Linked DNA regions of Mytilus edulis. The protein of the gene in region 2 purifies or fractionates together with the protein of the main gene of each other region. This does not show direct contact. Links are inferred from orthologs where the notes say so. Each region holds a gene or a part of one and is shown on either strand. Other genes may lie near its edges.

Evidence for each region.
Region 1: the proteins of WD repeat-containing protein 48-like (region 2) and RAD51-associated protein 1-like purify together in Homo sapiens (affinity purification with mass spectrometry; 5 studies listed by BioGRID and IntAct, counting the BioPlex papers as one, with this or other methods). This does not show direct contact. The link is inferred for Mytilus edulis from reciprocal best matches to the Homo sapiens genes WDR48 and RAD51AP1.

What each region holds. Positions count from the first base shown.
Region 1 is NC_092350.1:13,501,405-13,508,527, reverse strand, and holds the start of RAD51-associated protein 1-like, read left to right. Parts: upstream 1-4,054; 5' UTR 4,055-4,135; coding exon 4,136-4,158; intron 4,159-7,123. UniProt on the Homo sapiens protein: Structure-specific DNA-binding protein involved in DNA repair by promoting RAD51-mediated homologous recombination.
Region 2 is NC_092355.1:81,255,465-81,263,010, reverse strand, and holds the start of WD repeat-containing protein 48-like, read left to right. Parts: upstream 1-4,450; 5' UTR 4,451-4,459; coding exon 4,460-4,519; intron 4,520-7,083; coding exon 7,084-7,224; intron 7,225-7,546. UniProt on the Homo sapiens protein: Regulator of deubiquitinating complexes, which acts as a strong activator of USP1, USP12 and USP46. Enhances the USP1-mediated deubiquitination of FANCD2; USP1 being almost inactive by itself.

The sequences.
Region 1 (7,123 bases), on a different chromosome or scaffold from region 2:
TTTTCTAAATAACTTTTTAATAATTTTTAGAGAATTTTTAGACAGACCGTATGCTTCTAATTTAAGTAAAAGTAAATCATGAGGTAAACAATCAAATGCTTTAGATAGATCCATCAAAATTGCAGCAATAAATTTGTTCTCGTCCAGAGCTTTTTTCCAGTCTTCTATTATTTTAATAAGTGCAGTTTGGCAACCAAAACCTGACCTAAATGCCGAAAGAAGAGGATGAAAATGTTTATTTAAGAATTCCATTTAATAGTTGGTCATGAATAGCTCTTTCATAAATTTTAGAAATACATGGCAACACACTTACAGGTCTATAATTTTCTTTATCAAGAGAGTTATTCTTTTTAAAAAGTGGGGAAACCTGAGCAGCTTTAAGATTATCAGGAAAAATTGAGCTTTCAATTGATTTATTAACTAAAATTTTAATAGGATTTGCTATTACTGGCTGTGCCAATTTTATAATTTTTGGTGAAATATTGTCATATCCAGTGGCTTTTCTTATATTTAACCTATTTATTTGTTTACTCACAAACTCTTCTGCTACAGGTTTAAAATTCAACTCATTATAATCATTTTTATTTTCTTCAATTTTTATTATACTTGGATGATTTCTGTCTATTTTAATGTTTTTGTCTCCTATATCTTTAGCCACATTTATGAAAAATTTATTGAAAATTTCTGATACCTCTTTAGGATCACTGAGAATTTTATCATTTTCATATAAAATTATGTTATTGTTTGATTTAATATTTTAAAATTATAAATTGTATCCTTCAACTTTAGAAAATGACTGAATACACCACTGCAAATATGGCTAACATTTTGAGGAATAAATGCAGAAATCTTTAGACCTAAGAAGCTAAGACACATCTTCACTTTAATGGCTTGGGTAACATTATCAAGTAGTTTTAGCTACATGTATGGGTCCATCCAATTAACTTTATTTCATCCCCATTTTGTCTTGGGCTTATATATAAAATTCTTACCATTTTTTCTGACTCATTATCCATTATTGATTAAATGAATATTATCAAATCTACATAAAAATCTGAAAAATAAAAAAAATGATTTTTAGGAAGTGGAATGATACTCAGAATTGCATGTCTTTCCTGCTTTTGTAGAATAAATTTGATGTACTGCCTTATACATTTACGTTTATTTTACATATGAGACATAAAAAATGTCCTTTAAAAAAAAGGTGACAAATTGTCTTCATCAGGTGTCCAGAATATATCCCATGCATGATTAAGATTAGATTACTATAATGAACCCAACAGACAACTCCCCACTAGAGACTAAATGACATAGATGTTAACATTATAGGTCACCATACAGCCTTAACAGCGGTCAACAATCAGCAAAGCCCATACTGCATAGACTTGAATGAAATACTAATACAATATACAACAGCAAAAGACAACCACTGAAAAGACAACTTGTGATCTGAGTTTGTGGCAATTCTCTAAAAAAAAATTGGTTTTAATGAACATCAATCATGCATTCAGCAGCTTTGCCATTTCTTTCCCATGTTGAGCAAGTGATTGAAAAATATGATGCTTTTTTTTAAATACATTGCACCAATCATTCTATAATTTTAATTTATTGTATAGCAATATAATATTTCCAACAGAAAGTAACCAAAAGTTAGCATGCAATAAATTCTAATATTGCACTAGTGCAATAAATATTCAAAATTCATGACGTCATCAATGACAAAATCTTAGTTTAAACCAATTTTTCCTTTCAAATATTATATTGCTATACAATAAAAGGGTTATTGCATGAATATTGGGGAATATTGTCCCTCGTAGAACATATATTGCACTCGCAAGCTCGTGCAATATAAAATTCTACTCGGGACAATATTCCCCAATATTCATGCAATAACCCTATATTATTATAATTGATAATCCGCACTGCTGTCAATAGGAAACTATGATACAGAACATATGTTATTTCTAGTTTATCCTGCATAATGACGATCACAAATATGCTTGATGAAATTTAATAGTGCAGGGATTCAGGCAATGCCCTCTTTCTAGGAAATAATGTCATGAAGCACAAGTTTTTCTGGTGAGGGACATTACTTAAAAGTAGCCTATTACAGGCTCCTTACTTGGGACAGGCACACACAGAGTATGACAGGGTTAGGAGGTGCACAACCCTCCATTGTTATCTTTAACATATAGAAGTTAATTATGAAGTATTATGTACCTCATACTAGATGATTGATTTCCATGTCTGAGGCCCCTGTAACATCATTCAATTGTTATCATGTAGTTAATACTTATGCATAGGTGACTTCGTTACCTTCCTCATCCTTGTAACTTCCCTTATTTATATAAAAAAAAAATTAAAAAAAACTCAACTGTGGTTGTTATTACAGCCCCAAGTTTTTACTTTGGTCTTGGTACCAGAGATGTGAGAAGAAGGGTAAATTGATGAAAACTCTCGCAACGAGGGTCAGAATGGAACCAGGGACTATCTGCTTTGACTGCTGTGTCAGTGTGTGAATAAGTTCTGTCTTCTACTTCAATGTAAATCAATCCAATGTCCAAGTTGTCTCATATCTTTGGGCCTAACACCCCTCAGATATGAGAAGCCTACATGTACATCTTATACATGTGACATTTCACATTCAACCACATAATACGTAACATAATACGTAACATAATACGTAACATGCAAGCGCATGTACTTGTATGCAAACAGTCATTCTTCATATATATAGAAGAGGATTTAATAGACCACTTTCGAGTTCATCCGTCACCGGAAAAAACTCGTCAATTATACGCCCTTTTATCACCGTCATTTGTGCGTTTTGGGGCGTCGTCACTTCCCTTCCAATGTTGAGCGAGTGGTTGGAAAACTATAATTCTATATTATACGAATTATTCGGCAAATTGAATTCTCAAAATTGACAATCAACACTGCTGTCATTAGGGAATTGTCAGTAAGTACCTACAGAGCAACCATTATTTCTAGTTTATCCTGCACAAAGACGATCACTAAGACGCTTGATGAACGTAAATAGTGCAGGGATACAGGCGACCCCCTCTATCTGGTAAATGACGTCATAAAGGCGTGCATAATTGACGAGTTTTTGCCGGTGACGGATGAACTCGAAAGTGGTCTATTGGATCCTATTACAATGCATTCCACTTTTTCAATTTAAACACTTCTCGTGTTTTGACAGTATACTAATAATATATACAAGCTTATATGATGGGGGGAGGGTCGGAGGGGTACTGATCCTGAAATTTCTGGTTTGAAAACATGAAATATCGAGGTCCTTAATTTAAAGAAATTTAAATCCAGACATCCTGAAATTCAAAAAGAGAATTCTCAGATCCTGATCCCGATCTTAAAAACACCGAAATGGTCGGCTCAGTGGCAGATCAAGGGGGGGGGGGGGGGGGTTTCCGGGGGTTGGAACCCCTTTTTTTTTTGGTCGATCAATGCATTTGAATGGGAGCATATAGTTGGAACCCCCCTTTTAAAATGGCTGGATCCGCCACTGCTGCCCCTCTGATATGAAGACGATATCCACATTCTTTTGGCTTTACACATCACGCCTCCATGTTATACCATCGCACTGTTGTTGTATCGGATCATTGGACTAATGGACCGACGGAATATCGGACTGACAGACTACTTAACTGTCGGAATTTCGGGGTATCACTTCTCGCTCAGACACAGATCCGCCCCCTCCTTTTTTGCTTTACCAACCCCCTTTTTGTTTTTATAAATTATACACACCTTTATAAAGTTAAAGTGAGGAAACTATTGTCTGTTGGAGTTGTTAATACAGACTTATACTTTGGCCGTTTTCTGACTTTTCAGAACTGCCTAAATAATCAGTGGACATCTAATTTTCGATCTTCTAAACAAAGTTTGCCCACGTCCGAGTGTTTAACCCGGATTCGAAAATATCAAAAATTTAATTGCAAAGAAAATGTTAGTATAAACAGTCCAAAAAATAACCAATTATTTTTAAAAACTATTTTTTATTTCAATCAAACAAAAAATAGTAATCATTTACAATTTTGTAATTCGAAACAGTGATTCATTTCAAGTTCCGGCGTATGAGGAGGGAAATTGAAATATTTATAAACATTGAAAATGCAAAATGTCAGATAGAAGACCTGCGAGGTTAATATACGATAATTAGTGTGAGAGGAGTTTAACCAATAAAAGGGACGAATTCTGTAATAGTAGCTATTTCAAAGGGTGTTGCTTAATTATTTTTCATCATAACCGAATTTTTATCTGTTTACTTTACAGTTACGGGTTACACTAATGTCCTGACAATGTCCTGACAATGTCCTGACAAAGTCCTGACAGAAATGTAAATGCTTAATACTTTTTTGTTATTGGAAGGATTTACTTGAAATTTGGAATCAAGCAAGATGAGAACTTGTATTTAATAAATAAAATTAAAAAAATTAAAAAAAAATAATTTAAGACTTAGAAAACTTGACCTGACCAACTTGACTTAGAAAATACTATTGTCCTGACCGATATGAAACGGCTAAAAAATAATTTATTATTGACAGGATAGACTTCAAATTCGATACCAAGGAAGATTAAATCATTTATTACAAAAATATCAGGAAAAAAAAGAAAAAAAATTTTTTTAAGAGTTAGAAAACTTGACCTGACCAACTACACCTTTGCCGTGACTCATGTCCGGATCGATATAAAAATGATTCTATCTATTTTGTTATTGTAATGAATGAATTCAAATTGAGTAGTTAAGAAGTTTGCAACATTTAACAAAGAAATCAAAAGAAATAAAAAGAAAAAAAATGTTGAAAAGACCAAAAAACTTGACCTGACCAACATAGGCTATTCACCGAAAAAAGGCATGTATCTTTAAAAAATAGAATGACTATGTTAATTACTTAAATAAATGTCTTTAAGTTTGAAAACTATCATTATCTTATTAAATTTTTAAATGACTAAAAGAAAAAAGTTAACAATTATTGCAAGGGTAAATAATATTGACCTGACCACTGTAGGACTTGATAAATTTTCTAACATGTTAACCTCTTACCTTAAATTAGTGAAATTAAAATATCCGATCACAATAATATGAAAAACAACATTGAACACGAAAGATACAGTTAAAATGAATGAAAGAAAAATGTTAGGCCCAGTTGCAGTTGCTGAATGTGAGTATTGTTTATTCATGTTAACATTCTCTTATTGCTCTATTAGTCAATCTGATTAGGGGCTTGTGATGATAAGATTAATCACTTATTTGTTAATCCAATTAATTAATTATGAACTTGAACTTGTGTGTTAATTTATTGTATTTCTTTGTGATTCCAATATAATATTAATGTATATGCTTGTATACACATCCTTTTCAAACAAAACGAAGCCCATTTCCTGCTTTTATATGACATGTATAATCACTCAATAACTAGATAAAACAAAAAATAACTTATTGATTGTAAAGAAAACATTTCAAATTGTGATTATAGTAATTAATATAGGTGTGTTTTAATTCTATTGATTATTGTCACCTTCCTTTGCCTTTATTTTAATACATTTTTTTTTAACTGAGTTATTGCACCAAGAAAGAAAAAAAAACTTTCAATTTACTTATTTATTAAAATCAATAGGTAGCTAATCACTATACATTTTTATAATTTTTAATTGAGTTTATTAATTCAATAATTAGTTTCATTATTCACTCTGAGTTATTAATCAAATTTATAATAAGAAGTAGATTTGTGAAACAAAGGGGTAAACAATACTCACAGTCACTCAGCAACTCATATTTCCCCTATCTTTTCATTTAACAAAATTTATTTGCTTTGGATGTTGTATTTTATGGATAGGAAATAAATAAATTCAATAACAATATAAGGTAAGAACTAATAATGTTGTTGTTTGTGTATTAAGTTTAAGGGGTTCAGTCTTTTTAAAGTATTTATTTCCATTGAAATATTTTATTTCCAATTTATTGGAACAAGTATAAAAATAAAAATGTTACAATTTGACTTAGTTTCAATTAAGCACTCAATCATACCAACAATGTTGCAAGTATTAGCACTTTCATATCGGTCAGGACATTTACTCACAACAAAGTCGATGTTCGTCAGGTCAAGTTTTCTTACCTCTTAAGTATTTTTCCCCCAATTCTTTTCAAATAAGTATTTACTCAATGTTACTTTCTTGTCTTGTGTCAAATATGAAGTCAATCCGACGGAATTTAAGAAATAAATTACCAGTTTTATATCGGTCAGGACATTAGTCACGGTTGGACGTGGTTGGTCAGGTCAAGTTTTCTAACTCTTAAAATTATTTTTTTTTTATTTTTTTTTTCTTATATTTTTGTAATAAATGATTTAATCTTCCTTAATATCGAATTTGAAGTCTATCCTGTCAATAATAAATTATTTTTTAGCCGTTTCATATCGGTCAGGACAATAGTATTTTCGAAGTCAAGTTGGTCAGGTCAAGTTTTCTAAGTCTTAAATTATTTATTTTTTTATTTTTTTATTTTATTTATTAAATACAAGTTCTCATCTTGCTTGATTCCAAATTTCAAGTAAATCCTTCCAATAACAAAAAAGTATTAAGCATTTACATTTCTGTCAGGACTTTGTCAGGACATTAGTGTAACCCTACAGTTACTCTGAAATTTTTTTCAACCACCTAGTCCTACATGAGTCCTACAGAACCATCATTAATTTTCCAATTTTGTCCAGAAAAAACGGAAATGTCCTATAAGTCTCAAGTGATCGAATGCTTCACTCAAGCAGGGCTTTCCATTGAAATTGAAGTAGAAGGCTCAATTAAAATTATAGGCGGCTGTAACATGCGTTCGGCGAAGCCGGACGGCCACCAAGCTGTAAGCTTGGTGCCTTACGGCAGGGGGTCTGGGGGCAGCTCAAGGCCCCCAGAAGCTCTGACATAAATAGAGCAAAATCCTGCATTCTCACAATCTCCTGGCACCTAATTTCATCTTTCAAATGACCATTATTTATGTATGAAATTAAAGAAAGAAAAAAAAAATCAAAGAAATTTCATTTTTTTTTATGTTAGTTTTTTATTTTCATTACCTTATGCTTAAAATTTATTTACTTTTAAAGGAGTTTTATTT
Region 2 (7,546 bases):
CCAACAATTAATTAGAAATAATTTGTCTTAGTACCTTTTTAGTGTGTGTTAGCGCAGCCAAAAAATAACAATAATTTTCAATATTGTCAAAATATGTATGCACGAACGACACTCCGCATAACTAAAAGTAACAACCCTTACAAAACAAAACATGCTTACACATGCATATATTTCCATGGCGAATACATTAGAAGATACATTATTACCTTTACTTTTTGACAATGTGCGCTCCTTCAATTGTGGAAATCAACGGATCTAGACACGTTTTTAGTTTTTTTGTAACTTTCGAGGTAAAGTGTTGAATTTAAAAAAAAATGATAGTTTTAATGCTCGTTCAAGATTATAAAAATATTTACACGCTTATATATTTTATTCCAATTAAAGGTTCCATAAGTTCTGAAGACTTATTATAATGATGTTTTAAAATTGAGAGACATGTGTTATTTTGACAATCATATATAGATATGGATATATAATCAACTTTATTAGCTCACCTGGCCCAAATGGCCAAGTGAGCTTTTCTCATCACTTGGCGTCTGTCGTCCATCGTCGGCCGTCGTCGTAAACTTTTTACATTTTTGAACTTCTTCTAGAGAACCTCTAAATTAAATGAAACCAAACATGGCAAGTACTGACCAAGTGTTGTTACTTTGTAGCCGATCCATCATCCAAGATGGCCGCCAGCGCCCTACGGGAAATACATACAAATGTCTTCTTTTAAGAGAACCACAGAATGGAATGGAACCAAACATAGCATGAATTTTCCTAATGAGATGCTGACCAAGTGTTGTTACTTTTTAGCCGATCCATCATCCAAGATGGCCGTCAGCGGGGGACTTAGTTTAGCATGGGACCCTATGGGAAATACATACAAATGTCTTCTTTTAGAGAACCACTGAATGGATTGTAACCAAACATAGCATGAATGTTCCTTATGAGGTGCTGACCAAGTGTTGTTACGAAAGCCGATCCATCATCAAAGATGGCCGCCAGCGGGGGACTTAGTTAACATTGTACCCTATGGGAAATACATACAAATGTCTTCTTTTAGAGAACCACTGAATGGATTGAAACCAAACATAGCATGAATGTTCCTTATGAGGTACTGACCAAGTGTTGTTACGTTGTAGCCGATCCATCGTCCAAGATGGCCGCCAGGGGGGGGGGGCTTGGTTAAACTTCGGACCCTATAGGAAATACATACAAATGTCTTCTTTTAGAGAACCACTGAATGGATTGAAACCAAACATAGCATGAATGTTCCTTATGAGGTACTGACCAAGTGTTGTTACGTTGTGACACGGCGACATATAAAAAATCGAGGAGCAAGTGATGAGAACTTATTTTAATAAGATTGAATGAAACCAAAAATAGCATGAATGTTCCTTATAAGATGTTGACCAAGTGTGTTTACGTTGTAGCCGATCCATCATCCAAGATGGCTGCCAGCGGGGGACTCTGTTTAACACACTACCCTATGGGAAATACATACAAATGTCTTCTTTTAGCATGTTTAGAAAAGCACTGAATGGAATGAAATAAAACATGGCATGAATGTTCCTTATGAGGTGCTGACCAAGTGTTGTTACTTTGTAGCAGATCCATTATCCAAGATGACCGCCAGACGGGGACTTAGTTGAACATGGTACCCTATAGGAAATACACACAAATGTCTTTTTTAAGAGAACTTCTGAAAGAAATGTAACCAAAAAAAACAATATTAAACCAAATTTTGCCTAAAACATCATTATAAGTATCTGTTACAAATTTTTACATTTTTTAATATTTCAAAATCCCAAATAGAATCAGGTGAGCGACACAAGCTTTAGGGAGCCTCTAGTTCTATATTCTTATTGGCCTCAGCCAGACCAGAGTCATACGCATGTGTAAAAGAGCAATATTGAAATATTGTTGTTCGGTGTGAGCCAACGCTCCGTGTTGGAGGCAGTACCTTGACCTATAATTGTTTACTTTTATAAATTGTTATTTGGATGGATAGTTGTCTCATTGGCACTCATACCTCATCTTGCTATATCTATATATAAACAGATAAACATAAATTTTCAAACATGTAGTAGGAATAATTTTCTAATCGATCAAATTATCAGAAGACCATTGTCGATATATTGTGGAAAGACAGTATTTTCATTTAATCTTTGAGATATTAATATAGCATTAATATAAAATAGTTTTACTATTAACAATAACCACAATAAACCTATTTCTCGTATCAAACATAAACTAAAAGAACTAGCCAAGGAATTTGTTTTTGTCCCGATCGATAAAGCTGCTTATAATATTATTATTGTTACATTGAGGTTCTGAAAAAAGAAATCACCAATTCACCAACATTCCAACTGACTCCATTTTCAGAAAACGACATCTGTAATAAACATAAACTTTTAGCTACCACTTTGATGGCGTGCACAAAGCTGAGTCCAAAAACGTAACGTCTTTAAATTACTAAAATCATTTACCGCTATTTTCCCCCAGAAAACGTAAGCGTAACAAAAACACTGGACAATTAGTTTATCACATAACTTTAAACATAAACGTTCAACATATTTCTTTTTCTTTCGAATAACAAAGTACAGCAAATGCACATTCTGAAAATGTTAAAAAAAAAATATGCTTAGAACAGTGTAATGGAGACAATTAGCGACTATGTCATGGACCCTAATAACAAAAATAGCGTTAAAACGTCATTTCTTTAATCTGTAACATAATGGCTGGACAGTTTGGAAAATTCAGGTGTTCAGTCTGGACTATCGAATCCTTCTTATATTGCAATTTTTTGAAACCTCTTTTTATGCACATTTAGAATATCAAGTCATTTCGCAATATGAAAATAGCAAGTACATATTTATTTTAACGATTCTTCCATGTTCTAATATTAAGCTTTAAAAATGTCTACTTCTTACATATAACGAACTTCATTTCCAACACATCCTCCATGGCCAATTTGGATTTTTTTTAGGTAAAGTTCGTTTGACTTTATAGTCTGAATCCTAAAATATCTACTGTACGAAATGCAAGAAAGTACGTTAAATTTGTACAAATTTCAGGTCAAAAACTCTATTTTATGCTTATTTAATGTTACAAGTTACATATGTTTTTGCCGTTTCCATGTTTGTTTCATACTTCATAGATTTTATTTTGAGAACTTTTTTTAATAATTTGGATGTTAATGGCTAGTGTTCATCCTTTCATCATAAAAAAAACTTCCTGTTTGAAATGTATGATTTACATGGTTGTATAAAGCTACTTTTAAAAGCGCATTTTACAATTGCCGTCAACTCTGTGCACGCCGTCATTACAAGCAGAACCAAAAACAACGAAAGTCCCAACTATGTATTGGATTCCGAAGCTACACAAAACACCTTACAAATATAGATTTATTTCGTCTTCAGGCAAGCCATTGTTCCACTACTAAATTGTCTATTCTTCTTACCAGTACACTTGGTACAATCAAAAACCTGATAATAAATTGTTCAAATAAGGCCTTCGAAAATAGTGGAATTAATTACTTTTGGAGTGTCAAGAACTCGTTGGAAGTACTTGATAAATTGCATGCTTATATTGGTGATTTTATATCTGTTAAAGTTTTGATTTTTCTACCCTGTATACCACATAATTTGCCTCACATTCTCATTAAGAAAAAATTCACCCACCTAATTAAATGGGCATTTAAAAAGTCTGAATGTGAATATATATGTTCAACTTAATTACTCTTTTAGGTAATTTTTTGGTAGCAATAAAAAAACAAAACTTTGTCAATTGGACATGCTTTGATACTATATATGCCCTTGAATTTTTACTAGATAACATTTTTGTTCGCTTTTGAGATTCCGTATATCGTCTGCAGGTTATCGGAATTCCAATTGGGACTAACTGTGCACCACTTATAGCGGATCTGTTTTTGTAATGCTATGAGTTACAATTTATTACAAAAATTTAGCAAAGACTGACTATCGAAACAACATATGATAAAATCTGATAATTAGAATGTGATATGCCGTACAGCTTTTCCCCATGGTTTGTACTCTCCCCTGAGGTACTCTCAGTTGAAATAACTTCCACAAAATAGCGTCAGCGTTAAAATATTTATCCAAAGACAGTGTATTTTATAGATATTTGTAAATGTGTTTATTTCTTATCTTTTTAATAGGAAGTTGGTATAAACTCAACAATTGAGATAATTTAATCGGTTAATGTAAAAAAAATGTATAAAAAATTGAACGCAGCAGAGCTAGATGAAAAAAAAATGAGATATTTCGTGCTAAGAATTAAAATATGTTTTATTGAATAGAGAAGAAGTGGGTTTGGGTCGCTAGAGTTACTATCTCCAGCTTTATCATTAGAAAACCTGGAGACAAAATTTTGTGAATCCGGATTAGGCTAGTCCTTCCGATACCGAATTACGGTTAGAATTATTCCCGAATTTAGTGACGTATTTCACATGTTATCAATGGCTACACACCACAGAAATTCGGCAGGACAAGGCAAAAAGAAAGTTCAGGTGACTGACAAGCTATCACAAATGTTTGGTGCAAAATATATTTGTTTCTGAAGAACTTAATACATATAGAAAGACGTGGATACTTTTGGACAATGTACTTTTTTATTTAAGAAGTCAGAAGAGTGAGATAAAAAAAAAAATTATACCAAACACATACTATGAATATGATACATGTGTAGCTGCGGAACCGTAGCTCTTAGTCTGGTCCTTATGATATTGTATGACTATTTGCCTACCGTATCTCTTAGGTCCTCGTGATATTTTTTTACTATCTTTAGACCAGTAAAAAAATATAAGGACCTAACTGATAAGAGCTACCAAACAAGGCACTTTTTTCTATCCAAGTCCATGGAAAAATCCACTAGGCCATACTTAAAAATATATTGGTTTGCCCAAACCCTACCCAAAGGTTGAGACAGTGGGTAGGTAGGTAGGTAGGCATTTTCTTTTTTTTTTCAAAAAAAGAAATTGAAGTATCAGATGTTTATTAGTCTTCATGCCTATTTGATTAAAAAAAAATTCTTCAAATCAGGACAATAAAAGAATTTGAGTAGGCAGTTTTTATTTTCTGGGTAGGTAGCGTTAGGGCAAACAAACCTATTATTTATTATGGCCCTATCAATGTATATTTATGTAAATGAAAAGTGTTATTTACATGCAAGTTTTTCAGATGTTTTATTTCACTTGATTTCCAGTTTTGACGTTTTAAAATTTCTTGTTTTTGTGTTAAAGTAGATGTGCGTTCTCCGTTTTTGCCCTTGTGTTTTTGTGTTGGTACTTTTTATTTCTCGTGCTTGTCCTGTATTTGATTCAAAGGTCAACCATACTAATTCTGCCCAGATATTGTATGTGTATGGTACATATATGCAATAAAGTCCATGAGATTACTATAAATTATATATTTTTCAAAACCAGGTGCAACTTATGGACACAAAAAAGTTGACTGCAGGGTTATCATTTCTGTTAAATTATGACTGCATAATCAAGTATTTTTTTCATTAATGTTTATGATTTTATTTCTCATGCTTGATGTTTTCCTGATTTTCTTAGGCCTGTTTATGTGACGTATTATGGTTGTCCGTCGTCAACATGTTGGAAATTTTCAATGAATCTTTGGTGAATTTTGTATATCTATTGACGTGAGCTCCTTTTCTTTTTTATAAATTTTAGATGTTACATGTCCAAGTTTGGGTTTTTTATTCATTACAAAAAGTGGGATTTCCCAGTTTTCAGACAATAACTCAAAAACAATTTTACCAAGAATCTTTGGCACATTGTTTACATATATATTGACATGAGCTCCCTCTGGATTTTTATAAATTCTAGAGTTTATGTTTTTAAGTTATCAGGTTCTATTCATTACAAAAAGGGGGATTTTTCCAACAATATTTTTTAATTTTAAAAATGCTTTGAGTAGTTTTCCTGAAATTTTAGTGAATTGTTTATACATCTATTGACTTAAGTGCCCTTTCAATCTTTGAATTTTTATAAATTTCAGATTTTAAGCTTACTAGTAATGGGATTAAATTAATAAAATAAAAATTCCTAAGGGTTCCACGGAACCCAGTGTCTCGCCTACTTTTGCTGTTAATCGCAGACTCAACAAAAATGAGGAAAAACATCAATAAAAATTTCCCTCTCAATACTGTCTTTTGATTGAAAGAAGCTTCCAAGTAGGTAAAAAAATCCAGGATACATGTAGTTTATGAATCTAATAAATGTTTTATAAACTTTAACTGCAGACTGTATGTAATGTTAACTGGAAGAAAAACTAAGTCCAGTTATAAGTCAAATATGGAAAAGTGGAAATTTATTTTTACAAAATTTTCTTCTTGATACTATCTTATGATCATAAACATGCTTCTGTCCAAGTTTGGTACAAATCAAGGATAGTTTATGAAAGTTATTTAAATTTTAAAAACTTTAACTACAGAGTGAATGTAATGTTTTCTCGCAGAAAAACTAAGTCCATTTATAAGTAAAATATGGAAATGTGGAAATTTATTTTTACAAAATTTTCTTCTTGATATTATCTTATGATCATAAACAAGCTTCTGTCCAAGTTTGGTACAAATCAAGGATAGTTTATGAAAGTTATTAAAATTTTAAAAACTTTAACCACAGCGTGAATGTAATGTTTCCTCGCAGAAAAACTAAGTCCATTTATAAGTAAAATACGGAAAAAATGGAATTTTATTTTTACAAAATTTACTTCTGGATACTTTCTTATGATCACAAACAAGCTTCTGTCCAAGTTTGGTAGAAATTTAGTATAGTTTAAGAAAGTTATTAAAATTTCAAAAACTTTAACCACAGAGTGAATATTTGTGGACGCCGCCGACGCCGATGGAATGTAGGATCGCTTAGTCCCGCTTTTTCGACTAAAGTCGTAGGCTCGACAAAAAGGTTTTTTTTTTAGTTTTCTCTCACAGCTTGGAAATAATGAGGACCATTTCTGGTGTATCACTGTTATAACCAGATCAAAGATCCTGGATCAATGGAACACATAATTGCAGAATATTAATGACCCACTTATTAACAGTTTCATCTTTTTTATTTGTTAGGTTTCTTTTGTTATCCGAGATGAAGTTGAACGACATCACAGATCTGGGATTAACTCCCTTCAGTTTGACCCACTTATTAACAGATTATACTCGGCTGGGAGAGACTCCATCATCAGAATATTTAACACAAAGACCAACAAGGTAAGAACACATTATCAAACAAGAACAAGGTAAGAACACATTAACAAACAAGGAAGAAAGGAACACATGGAGGTTGTTAGAAACACGAAAAACATGTGCGATAACAAAGACACAGATATAAAATAACACTAAGAAGGCAAACACAGATAAAAGGAACCAAAAAAAAAGGAATCAGGTGAAAATATTGCAGATGAAAATAAAAATAAGAGGACACCTGGACACACAACACAAGAAACTGAAATTGAAACAGGAATAAATTGACGAATGTAGGAACAGATGTAATGAGGACAATACACTTTATAAAAGTAGGAACAGTTTAACA